3 linked regions of the Sus scrofa genome follow. The protein of the gene in region 2 binds, or shares a complex with, the protein of the main gene of each other region. Links are inferred from orthologs where the notes say so. Each region holds a gene or a part of one and is shown on either strand. Other genes may lie near its edges.

Region 1 (4,184 bases), on a different chromosome or scaffold from region 2:
TCCATATGCCTCAGGTGCGACCCTTATAAAAAAAAAAAAGAACTGAATGAAGAAAACAAAAGAACTGAATGATCTGAATTTGTATCAAGGCTTTGGTTATATCATACATGACAAATAAGATTAAAAGACTATGTTTCATGATGCTTTCCTAAGAATCCTAACCCTTAAAGAAATATATTCCTTGGACTAAACAAGATAATTGAAGAGAACAGTGACAGGCTGGTTTAATCTGGGTTTCATCTCTACCTACTCTCTCAGAATCAAATAGACCAGTGAAAGCTCTGGGCCAGAAGACAATGCATGTTTAATCACAATTTCAAAAATAATTTTATAAGAGTCTTGGAGTACCCACCATGGTGCAGCTAGTTAAGGATCTGGTGGTGTCTCTGCAGTGGCTCAGGTTGTTGCTGGAGCAGGTGCCCTCCCTGGCCCAACATAGTGGGTTAAGGACCCGGTGTTGCCACCAACTGTGTTGCAGGTCACAGTTGCAGCTCAAGATTCTATCTCTGGCCCAGAAGGGTATGGCCAAATAATAATAATAATAATAATAATAATAATAATAATAATTTTATAGGAGTCTTAACTATATTATTAAGTGGATTTACAGGTCAAGAGCTATTTATATCAAAAAAAGAATATTTACATTCAAGGGAGAATAAATCTTGTCATCAAAATTATTAAAAATGCTTAGCAAGGACCTTGATGAAGTATCCAGGCTCTAGTGGTTTAATCTGCATGTGGCACAATGTTTGGTTAATTCCAAAGTGTGGCTAATACCATGGAAAAGTGAAGTGGAACTTCTACTAATTAATCCTTATCATATAACTTGCACTTCTTCCTCTACTTACCCTGCCCTTTTATTTTCTCTTTAATTATCTAAGTCCTATATAGCCATCAAGACCAAAGTCCAAGTGCCAATTCCTCCACGATGCCCTCACTGACTAAACCTGACTCCTGTTACTTATTCCTTCACTCATTGAGGAATCATTCATTTGGCATTTTACATATATCATACTGCATTTCTGACTTTTTCTTTTAAAAGTACCAATCCGGAGTTCCCGTCGTGGCACAGTGGTTAACGAATCCGACTAGGAACCATGAGGTTGCAGGTTCGATCCCTGGCCTTGCTCAGTGGGTTAAGGATCCGGTGTTGCCGTGAGCTGTGGTGTAGGTTGCAGATGCGGCTCAGATCCTGCGTTGCTGTGGCTCTGGTGTAGGCTGGTGGCTACAGCTCTGATTGGATCCCTAGCCTGGGAACCTCCATATGCCGAGGGAAGCAGCCCTAGAAAAGGCAAAGACCAAAAAATAAATAAATAAAAGTACCAATCCTTTATTCCCAACTAAATTTTAAATTCCTTGAGGGCAGGGACACTGTTTTACTTATTTTTGTCTTACTAGACTCATGTACATTGTAGATACTCAATAGATGTTTATTTATTATGGCGTAAGAGTCTTGCCAGGGCATTTTCCATTTCCAAAGATCAGAATGAATGTGTGGACCTCACGTATTTCAACACAAGATTTAGAGATGGACTCAAGTACACTGACAGAGAAACAAGCTACAAGAATGGTATGGATTCATTATCCTTGTAGATCTTCCATTGATTTGCTTTAGCTAATTCAAGGCTTGTGCTGGGGATGTGGAATGCAAAAGACAAGACAATCATTTGAGGTTCCTTCAAGTTTTATGACTGTGACACAGAGGGCAACGGAAGGGGTGAAAAAGTTTAAAAACAAATGTTTCCAGATTGTTTGATATGTAAATGGCTAAGACAATGCCAGTTTCTCTACTCACTTAGCAACACCCTGTGCCAGCTCTGTGAGGGCCAATGAGATGGTCCCTGTGTATACAGATTCGTACTTGCTCTTACACTGCCCACAGTCTCAGAGAAACAACCACTACAAAGCAATTGCTATAACCGAGGGACGAACAAAGAGCCATGGGAATAATCCAAAGAGGGGACTTGCTGCTCGAGGGAAGGGGCCTGAAAGGCCTAGCAAAGGAGACTTTCAAGAGGAGTCAACCAGACGTGGAGAGGCAGGGTTGGGGACGAATGGGAGCTTCCGTCCCGGGAAAGTGGTGAACCGGAGGGACCAGGGGCCAGGGTGGGAAGGAACGCGACTACTTGCCAGAGGGCAAGGCGTCTGTACGGCTGAAGGGGAAGAGAAGAGTACCAACTTATGAAGCATTAAAGAAATGGCCATTTGGGCAAAGGCTCTGACTCAGGAGCTTTTTCTCCACGGTTCCCTCCTGGGTTCCCTCCCTCCCTCCCGGGGTAAGCATCAGCCCAACAGCCCAGCGCCTCACCCAAGTGCCCTGAGTCCTGCTTCCGCCTCCGCCGCAGCCTTTCCCTCAGCGAGTCCAGCTGCTTTTTGTGGGCCTGGATAGAGCTCCACGTGTCCGACATTTTAGTCCCACAGCCGGGACACGTCTCGAACAAGGGGTAGCCGACTAGCACCTCCCAGCACTGGCTCCACGAAATTTCCAACTCTCACGCGTACTCCCCAAGGCTAACCGGAAGGAGGTCCTGAGAGATGCGCCAGATAGAAAGTCATTTCCCGTTTCGCTCTCGCTTTGGAACTGAAATGAGGAGCCACCTTAAATGTTAGCGGAGTGGCGGATATGTTTTTCAGTGACGGTCTTTCGCGCTACCGGAAGCGGTGAAGCTGGGGTTGCCATATTGGTGCCTGGCAGAGCGGCCATCTTGCTTATAGCCGCGCATGCGGCCATGTTGATTATTAGGAAATGCGTCCTGATAGTTGACTCTTGTTAAAGCACCCAAGGTAGGGGTGCTGGTGCGAGTGTAGCCTCGCCTCGGACATGCGGAAGTTCCCGGACAGGGATCAAACCCGAACCACAGCAGACAACACTAATTCCTTAACCATTAGGCCACCAGGTGAATTCACAGATTTTTTTTTTTTTTTTTTGCTTTTTTAGGGCCTCACCTGAAGCATGCGGAAGTTCTCAGGCAAGAGGTCAAATCAGAGCTGCAGCAATGCAGGAACTCGAGCTGTGTTGTGACTTACACCAACAGCTCACAGCAACATGGGATACTTAACCCCAACACTGAGGGAGGCCAAGGGATGGTACACCAGTCCTCATGGATTCTAGTCAGGCTCTTTAATGCTGAGCCATAAGGGGAACACCCAGATATTTTTAAATGAAGGATCACTGATTTCTTTTGACAGTTTGATACTAACATGCCTTTTCCACTGAAGGTGTAGGTTCATGTTTCCATGCATTTGTTTACAAAAATATAGCTGTTATGTATGCTTCTTTGACAGAGGAGGACTGATGAACAGAGATAATATACGGAGTCTACAAATACATATTCTTACTTATATCAAATCTACAAGTGTCATGTCTGATACATTAAAACAGAGTCCTCAGGAGTTCACTTCTGGTACAGCAGGTTAAGGATCCTGCATTGTCACTGCAGCCACTCTGGTTGCTGTTGTGACTCAGGTTTGATCCCTGGCCAGGGGACTTCCACATGCCAAAAGAACAAACAAAAACAAACAAAATAGAATCCTCAGAAGCGGCACTAAGGGGCTTCTTGAGGTTCTGGTTGTGCTGTGTTTCTTATTCTGGGATTGCATAAATACATTCTTTGTGAAAATTAACTGAGCCAAAGTGTACTTCTGTGTGTGGTAAACTTACAAACTTTGTTCCCATTGCATCCTCTGAACAGAAGCATTTGGGAACTACTGATTTTTTTTTTTAATTTTTATTTATTTATTTATTTGTCTTTTTGCTATTTCTTTGGGCCGCTCCCGCGGCATATGGAGGTTCCCAAGCTAGGGGTCGAATTGGAGCTGCAACCCCCGGCCTACGCTAGAGCCACAGCAACGCGGGATCTGAGCCGCGTCTGCAATCTACACCACAGCTCACGGCAACGCTAGATCGTTAACACACTGAACAAGGGCAGGGATCGAACCCGCAACCTCATGGTTCCTAGTCAGATTCCTTAACCACTGCGCCACGACGGGAACTCCGGGAACTACTGATTTATCAGTTCTAACCAGATGCAAAACACTGTCAGAACAACTTAAAAAGGCCTGCCCCTTGTTTTCAGAGTTTCTGGTCATGTAAAAGAGCTAGGACCCATTTATTAATATTGAACCAACTTTACAGCATAAGGCAGCATAAACATAGGCTTAAAAAACAAATGTGATTGCAAAGA
Region 2 (4,084 bases):
GTTAAGATTTTTGAATGTTTTATTTAATAAATGATATTAATACTATGTTTAAAAATTAGCAGTTTTAAAGTATAGTAGCCACATTACCTTCAACAGGGGGTGGTGGGCATGCCACATTACAGAGAACACGTAAGGCAGTGGTAAGGCCAACTCCTTCTGGGGTCATCAAGTTATCAATATTCTTTAAAAATAAAAATGAACAGGAAATTTAACTTCTTGGTACCTAACAGACCCAGAGAAGGCAATTATTTAAAAATATGAATTTTAGGAGTTCTCATTGTGGCTCAGTGGGTTAAGAACCCAACTGGTATCCATGAGGATGTGGGTTTGATCCCTGGCCTTGCTCAGTGGCTTAAAAGATCTGTGGTGTTGATGTGAGCTGCAGTGTAGGTTGGAGAGGCAGCTCGGATCTGGCGTTGCTGTGACTGTGGCTGTGGCCAGTAGCTGCAGCTCGGATTCAACCCTTAGCCCAGGAACTTCCTATGTGGCACAGGTGTGGCCATTAAAAAAAAAAAAAAGAATTTCAAGTATTCACATCATGTTAAACTTCTTAAATAAATTTAAAACATGAAGAAGGCTAATAAGCTTTATAAAGGTTATCTGATCTTTGGCATATATGTACCATATATGATATTATGTATATAAAATGAATAACTACAAAGGTGAGTTTATTAAAAAGTATTGACTAAAACAAAGTTGCATACAGGTATCTATGAAACTTTGTGTGTTAAGAATTTAAAATAGCTTCTTTTTAGATACCCTTTCTACACATCCTCTTTCCCAAAAATGAAGCAATGACTTGATTTTACAAAGCCTTGTGAGTACTAAATTTCTTTCAAAACTGAGGAAGCATCAGGGAATGTTTTAACTCTATATAACGTAATTTCGAAAAATGCAGATACCAAAGGAATCTAGTTATGATGGCCATTTTGGGCATGGCTAAAGGAAAAAGAAGTATAGTTGCCTATATCCTCAGAACCTGCCCATGCTATGTCTCCAAGTAACAAATACTTATGCTTAAGTTCCTTTATTTTTGTGGTTTCCATGGAGTAGCATATAGATGGTTACAAAAATTTAGAAATAGCATTTTAAAATGTTACTGTTTCAACATGATGGAAGATAGTACGAGAAAAAAATATATATATGACTGATACACACTTTGTTGTACAGCTGAAAGTGGCACAACATTGTAAATAACTATAATTAAAAAAAATAATAAAAAAGAAATGAAGGGGAAAAAAGTTACTATTTCAGGGAGGCCCCTGGTGGCCTAGCTGGTTAAGGATCCAGCATTGTCACTGCTGTGGCAAGGGTTCTATCCCTGGCCTAGGAACTTCTACATGCCAAGGGTGTGGCAAAAGGACAAAAACAAAAGTTCCTATTTCAGCTTCTCAAACTCAAAGGAGAAATCTAAAAATAAGAAAATTATTTCCTTCATACGCTTCCCACCTTTGGTTATCTCTTCTTCTAATTTCTTCTTGCTGCCTTTCAATAATTCCACAAATTATGTAAGGCAGCATGGAGCCACAGAGAGAATTTCAGTCTTAGATCAACTTGTTTTTAGTACATCTTAGAATGTAAGTCACTTGTAATAACCATAATTAATTAGACAAGGATTTATATAAAAATTGAGGAGTTCCCATCGTGGCGCAGTGGTTAATGAATCCGACTAGGAACCATGAGGTTGCGGGTTCGGTCCCTGCCCTTGCTCAGTGGGTTAACGATCCGGCGTTGCCATGAGCTGTGGTGTAGGTTGCAGACACGGCTCGGATCCCGAGTTGCTGTGGCTCTGGCATAGGCTGGCAGCTACAGCTCCGATTAGACCCCTAGCCTGGGAACCTCCATATGCCGCGGGAGCAGCCCAAGAAATAGCAAAAAGACAAAACCAAAAAAAAAAAAAAAAACAAAAAAAAAATTGAAACTCTTAATTACAGCATGTAATTCAAATTTCTAGAACTGAATTTTTTAATTGGTTAGAACTTTTATCTAAGCCATCTAATATTTATTGTATATTTTATATATTCTCACCATGCACAAATACCCTAAATACCTGTTCATCTAAACGTACTTCTGCTAAATAAAAGACTGAATATAAGGAAAAGCTCTAGATATCATTTGAGGCATAAAGAACAGAAGAATATGATGGCACTATAGGAGGCAAAAGTACTCTTAGGTGAGATGGAGGAAAAAGAGATGGGCAGACAAGTTAAGAAAAGAGAAATCTGAAGCAGATAAATCCAAACAGCCCTTTTGTTGGTGGGTAAAAATAGCAACAGATTAGATAATACACATTCCTCCAATCACATACACTATAGCTCCAAGACCAAAATGGTTTAAACACACACACAGACGCACACATATATACAATACATAAAGCTCATCTGTTAAAGGAAAAAGCAGATAATTCAAGGTCCATTCTGCCCCTCATTTAAAACTTTTTATGTATCTATAAGCACCTTTAGAGGCCCTTCTTCCTATGATACACATTGGATCAAATAAGGAGCAAAGAAAACATTAAACTTCTAAAGCTAATGATTCAATGACTTCAATGAACTTTTTCATTATGAATTATAAGTGAATTTCTGAACTGCAATATTATAAACTTTATGATTTTCAACTTCTATAAATTATCTCAATCGCAGATTTGACCATCCCAAATTAACAAACAGAAACAGCCCCCACTGCAATTATCAGGAATTGACTATCAAACTTGATCTAAAAATTTCAAGGGAAATTATTTTTCACCAAGATTAAAACAATTATGTTACATTGTCATAACATTTAGCTTTAAAACACTTCCACAAATGTATCAAAACAGTAGATAATATTATTTCTATTTGAGAGGGAAAAAAATAGGAATCTGGTAGTAGAAAGCAGTACGATTATGTGCATCTGTGCTCATGTATATATACAATTACACACCCATCTATATCCAGTACCAATCTGTACCCACCAGACTATTAAATCAACCAAATGCACTTAAATGCATTACCTATTTTTTTTTTTTTTTTTTTTGGCTGCACCATCGGCATTGGAAATTCTGGGACCAAGGATCAAACCCACGCCACAGCCACAACTCAAGCCACAGCAGTGACAACCCCGGATCCTTAACCTGCTAAGCCACCAAGGGAACTCCTTAACTGCATTTTCTATACAGGTGACTTAATACAATATTACTATGTACTACCACACAGTTCTACAAAAATCAAGGCACTTTTAAGTTTTACTTACCTGTTTAACATATTCAATTAGGTTTGGGATGCAGTTAATTTCAAATCTAAGGTTTTTCAGAGGTTCAAGCCACTTGCCAAGTTCTTAAAAACAAAAAGAATAAGTTCACAATATAATATTTTAAAATAAAAGCCTTTATAACAAAGGAAGCAAAGGCATTTTCCAGAGAAAAACATTATCAGATCAATATTCATTTCAATAATCTAAATTTTAGACATGGATGAACTTATGCCTCATTCTTTTTTTTTTTTTTTTTTAATTTTATTGGCCACACCCACAGCACATGGATGTTCCCAGGCCAGGGACTGAATCCAAACCACACCTGCAACCTTTGCTGCAGTTGCGGCAACAATGGATCCTTTAACCCAATACACCAGGCTGGGAATTGAACCTGCACCTCAGCAGTGACGTGAGCTGCTTCATTCAGATTCTTAACCCACTCTGTCACTGCAGAACTTCACGTTTCATTCTTCAAACAGGTTTAAAAATGAAATATAAAACATCCTACTATACTGGTTTAGAAATAAGAGGTGACCACTCTTGGTTATTTGGTTTCTGAAAACATGATTAAAGAAGACGATCTAGGAGTTCCCGTCGTGGCGCAGTGGTTAACGAATCCGACTAGGAACCATAAGGTTGCGGGTTCGGTCCCTGCCCTTGCTCAGTGGGTTAACGATCCGGCGTTGCCGTGAGCTGTGGTGTAGGTTGCAGACGCGGCTCGGATCCCATGTTGCTGTGGCTCTGGCGTAGGCCGGTGGCTACAGCTCCAATTCAACCCCTAGCCTGGGAACCTCCATATGCCGCGGGAGCGGCCCAAGAAATAGCAACAACAACAACAACAAAAGACAAAAAA
Region 3 (4,184 bases), on a different chromosome or scaffold from region 2:
GACTGGAGGTACTGCTGTGAAAAGTCGCAAGGCGGGAAGGCATAGAGCATGCCTGTGCTGTCTCTGCCTTTGGACCCACCTACTGGCAGGCTGATCACCCCTGCAGCCTGCTTCTGTTTCAAGTAGGAGACCAGGTTCCTGAGAAGCCGCCTCTGTAGGCCTGGCTCCACTGTGGGCATCCCCTCAGTGCCAGGCCCACTGGGGGTCGCCTGGGTGGCTAGGAGCACTGCGTAGCCATTGGGGCTCCCCTGCTTGATGCGTCGTGTGACCTCATCGAGCTTGGGCTGGTCCAGTCGAAGGCGCTGGGCAATCTTCAGCTGGGTCAGCTTACTCCCAGAAGTGTGGTCTTTGAGGAGACCGCTGATAACCCCCTGGTCCCCCTCTAGGATGTGCATAGATGTCGGGAAGCAGCTGTTTTTCAACACTAGAAGCCCATTCCAACCCAGCTGCAGTGTCTGGGCATACTCTGAAAGATTCTTGAGCTTTTTGGTCTCATGTTTTGGCTCTTCCAGAGGCTTGGTTTCAGCCTCAGTGGTCCGATGATTGCGCTCGCTCTCTCGTGTCTTCTTCCCGTGGGAAGAGTCTGGAGCCTCATGGTGGTGGTGGTGGCTCCGCTCCTCAGCCCCATGTCTGCTGTTGCTGAGGGAGTTGCCGCTCAATTCCTTGGTCCCTTCACTGGAGTGATTTTCCTTGCGGCTGCGCTCAGGGGTACGGTCAGAGCCTCGGTCAGCCTGCTGCCCACCACCCTTGGTCCTGCTCCGTTCCTCATAAGGGGAGTGGGTGGTCCTCCCTCGATCACTGGAAAGGCTTCTCCGTTTCCGCCTCTCCTCCCAGGGCTTGGGCAGGCCCCGGTCACCATCTCCTCCCCAGCGTTCGCCACTCCGGCTGCGCACTGAGCGGCTGTACCCTTCCAGGCTGTTCCGGCGGTCAGAACTTTTACTGGGGCTGGTCCAGTCCCCTTCCAAGAAGGTCCGGTCTCGGTCCGAGTACAGGAGGTGTGGGGGGGTCCTATCCCGCACCCGCAGGTCGGCATCCAGGTTTCGATGACGGGTATATCCATCAGGGAGAAGTTCGTAATGCACAGGGAGGGGTGAGGGCTGGTACTGCTGGGGATACCGAGTCTCCTCTGCTTTGGCAAAATCCACCCGCAGCCTGCGGTCTGGACCACCCAAGGGAAAGCCCCTCATTTTAGCACAGGCGGCCTGCGCTGCGTCCAAGCTCTCGTACTGGATGTAAGCAAAGCTATCTCCTTTGACGTGATCAATGGTCCGTATGCTCCCAAAGCGGTCAAACTCCCGGGCCAGAGCCGCCAGTGAGGTGTTGGGTCCCAGGCCACCCACCCAGAGGCGAGTAGTGGGGTTCGCCTTGCCGTAGCCTATCTTAATGGGGTTGCGGCCGATCACCCGACCTGACATGGCCACCTTAGCTCTATGGGCCATATCCAGGTTCTGGAACTTGAGAAAGGCATACGCACCGCCCTGACCACGGGCGGGTCTCTTGATGACCACCTCCTCAATGATGCCATACTTTTCGAAAGCCCGTCTCAGCTCCACCTCTGACACGCTGTGGTCCAGGTTACCGATGAAGAGGTTTCGCGTGGCCCGCTGGTCGTCCTCAGGCATCAGGTCCTCCTCGCACACGGCCGGGTAGCCGTAGGGGCGTCCGCGGTCGTCATACAACCCGTAGTAGTCCAGGGCCCGCTCCCGGGATAGTCCTACGGCGGCGGCGGCGGCAGCATCCAGGGCAAAGGCTGCGGCGGCGTGGCGGGCGCGGGGCTCTCGCAGTGGCGGGGCAGCAACCGGTGACAGCGAACGCTGCTTGTACTGGTAGCCGCCGTGCAGCGGGAGGTAGCCGAGTGGATCGGCCGGCGCGGGCGGCCCCGGGGGCGGTGTGGAGGCGGCGGCGCTACTGCTGCTGCTTCTTCGGCTGCTCCCGCCGCCGCCGCCGCCGCCGCGCAGGTACACGGGTTCCACCTTGAGCGGACGGTCGTAGAGCAGCAGCTGGCGGGCCAGGGCGTGCTGTCGGGCCTCGCGTGCGTCCTGTGGGTGCCGGAAGTTCACGTAGGCCACGCGGCCCAGCTCAGGCGTGTGCGACAAGCGCAGGCTGATCTCGCCGAAGCGCTTGAACTGGTGGAAGAGCCGGTCCTCGAGATGCTCGGCGGGCAGCGCGGGACTCAAGCTGCTGATGAGCAGCGTCTTATACTCGGGTGCGGCCGCGGAAGAGCCGGGACCCGCGGGCTCGGACCCGGGCGGCGGGGGAGGTGGCGGCAGCGGAGACGCGCGGGGCGAAGCGCCTGAAGCGCCCGGATCCCCCGAGGCCTTGCCGCCGCGTCCCCCGCCGCCGGCGCCCGAACCCGAGGCGCGGCCGCTGCTCGCACGATGATTCGCGTCCCCGGCGCCGCGGCCGTCGCGATGCCCACCCCCGCCGCCCCCGCTACCGCGGGGTTTCTCGCGGGCCCGCGTTGGAACGGGGTGCTTGGTGCCGCCCGAGGCCTTGTGCGCCGCCCGCCGCCCGCCCGCCTCTGCCTCCCGTTCGCGCTCCCGCGGTCGCTTGGCCGATGATGACGAGCCGCGCCCGCCTGGGCTCGAGTCTCGCTCGCTCTGCCTCTTCATGGCGCCGGCGCGGCGGGCGGGCGGGCGGCCCGCGGGCCTCTCACAGCGGCGGCGGCGGCGGCGGCGGCCGAGGAGGCAGCGCCCCCGGCGCCGCCATCTTGGACAAAAGGACTCGGCGCGGCGGTGGCGGCGGGGCGGGGCGGGAGCGGCGCCCAGGGGCCGGGTGTCGCGTTATCTGGCTGCGCCGCCCGCACCACGTGACTCTGAGGCGGGCGGGGCAAGAGCTGCGCCGGGTGTGCGTCATTGGGATGCGCCGCCCCGTGCCACGTGATCCCCGTTGCAAGCCAGCGAGCTTGTCTAGGCAGTGAGCTCTGGCGCCACCGCGTGGCCGGAGTTCTATGGAAATCATAGTCGTGTCGAGAGCACTGCTGCACCTAGGCCTCTGGCTCCGGGCTGGGCGGCCAGGGTAGCCGGATGGAAGCGGGAGTAGCGGCCTCTTTACGTGATATTCCCAATTCCAAGACTAGGTTTGCGTGACTCCCATACCTCGCCCGAGTCTCCTGACCGTCGTCCGGGATGGACAACCCTGAGGACCAAAGCATGCCGCCCCCTAGGACCCACGCCCCATATCTTGAGCATCCCCTGCGTTCAGGCACACCTACAGCAGGCCTCTGAAAGGCCATATGAGGAGCATGGCCACGCATGCAGAAGCCCTAGGCACGGAAAGCTGAGACATGCCGGCGGTTTCCCGAGTGGCACCAGGCTCCTTGGTGCCATGGGGCCCCACCCTCTGCCCTGAGCGTTCGAGCAGAAAGAGAGCTGTAAGGGCAGGGCCACGGAAACAATGGCGGAGAATAAACCCAGGGCTTACCCAGCTTGCCATGCTTACCTTTCACTGGCCAGCGTCCTCCTATCCACTTCCAAGATGGCGAGATGACTGGGAATATGTTCCCGAGGAGAGGGGAGGGAGAATCCTGCTCAGCATCCAAGCCCCTTGGGGAAGCGTTCATTCTGCAGGGTTGCTGGAGGGTTCGCAGAACCTGACCCAACTTCAGCCACAGAAACTATGGAGTGAGCAAAACGCACCACGGTTCTTCCCTCCTCCCACAGAGAAAGCAACTCCCGGAGCAACTGAGGCAGGTCCAAGAGTTAATGTTTCCGAAGAAACACCTGTAACATTTCTGAAATCTGCTTCCAGGAGTTAACCCCTTCCTAGACAGAGACACTTGTAGCTCAGCCCGAGGGTAGCAGTTAATTGGCCTGTTTTCCGTTTGGTGTGGTCTGGAGGATATGGAACACAGACCTAGGGTGCTGAGACAGCTCCACCTCGTAGGAGTTCTGGCTCCAGCCATGGACCTTCCTTGGCACCTTTCAGGGCCTCAGGATGCTCTATGCTTGTTAGATTTAACAGCTCATCTACTTCGTCTAAATCTGGAAGACCTGGCCTGAGAAATGGCTCAAACTTTTTGCTTTCCTCAGACATGTTGCTGCAAGGGCGGAAAATGCAGTCCTGCTGTTGACAAGCATCAGTGGATGCCACAGCAGGCTGAGAGGCACTTCATGTAGGCAAACTGAATTTAGAAATTGCACAATTGTGACCCCAGGCCAGGGCAATTCCTTGGAAAGCACTGC

The links.
Region 1: KIAA1429 (region 2) and METTL3 share a complex: the UniProt entries of both Homo sapiens proteins name them as parts of the WMM complex. The link is inferred for Sus scrofa from reciprocal best matches to the Homo sapiens genes VIRMA and METTL3.
Region 3: KIAA1429 (region 2) and RBM15B share a complex: the UniProt entries of both Homo sapiens proteins name them as parts of the WMM complex. The link is inferred for Sus scrofa from reciprocal best matches to the Homo sapiens genes VIRMA and RBM15B.

The regions. Positions count from the first base shown.
Region 1 is NC_010449.5:77,660,397-77,664,580, reverse strand, and holds the start of METTL3 (N6-adenosine-methyltransferase 70 kDa subunit), read right to left. Parts: upstream 2,637-4,184; 5' UTR 2,409-2,636; coding exon 2,309-2,408; intron 1-2,308. UniProt on the Homo sapiens protein: The METTL3-METTL14 heterodimer forms a N6-methyltransferase complex that methylates adenosine residues at the N(6) position of some RNAs and regulates various processes such as the circadian clock, differentiation of embryonic and hematopoietic stem cells, cortical neurogenesis, response to DNA damage, differentiation of T-cells and primary miRNA processing.
Region 2 is NC_010446.5:42,199,995-42,204,078, reverse strand, and holds part of KIAA1429 (protein virilizer homolog), read right to left. Parts: intron 3,315-4,084; coding exon 3,232-3,314; intron 182-3,231; coding exon 88-181; intron 1-87. UniProt on the Homo sapiens protein: Associated component of the WMM complex, a complex that mediates N6-methyladenosine (m6A) methylation of RNAs, a modification that plays a role in the efficiency of mRNA splicing and RNA processing.
Region 3 is NC_010455.5:33,662,900-33,667,083, reverse strand, and holds the start of RBM15B (putative RNA-binding protein 15B), read right to left. Parts: upstream 2,698-4,184; 5' UTR 2,613-2,697; coding exon 1-2,612. UniProt on the Homo sapiens protein: RNA-binding protein that acts as a key regulator of N6-methyladenosine (m6A) methylation of RNAs, thereby regulating different processes, such as alternative splicing of mRNAs and X chromosome inactivation mediated by Xist RNA.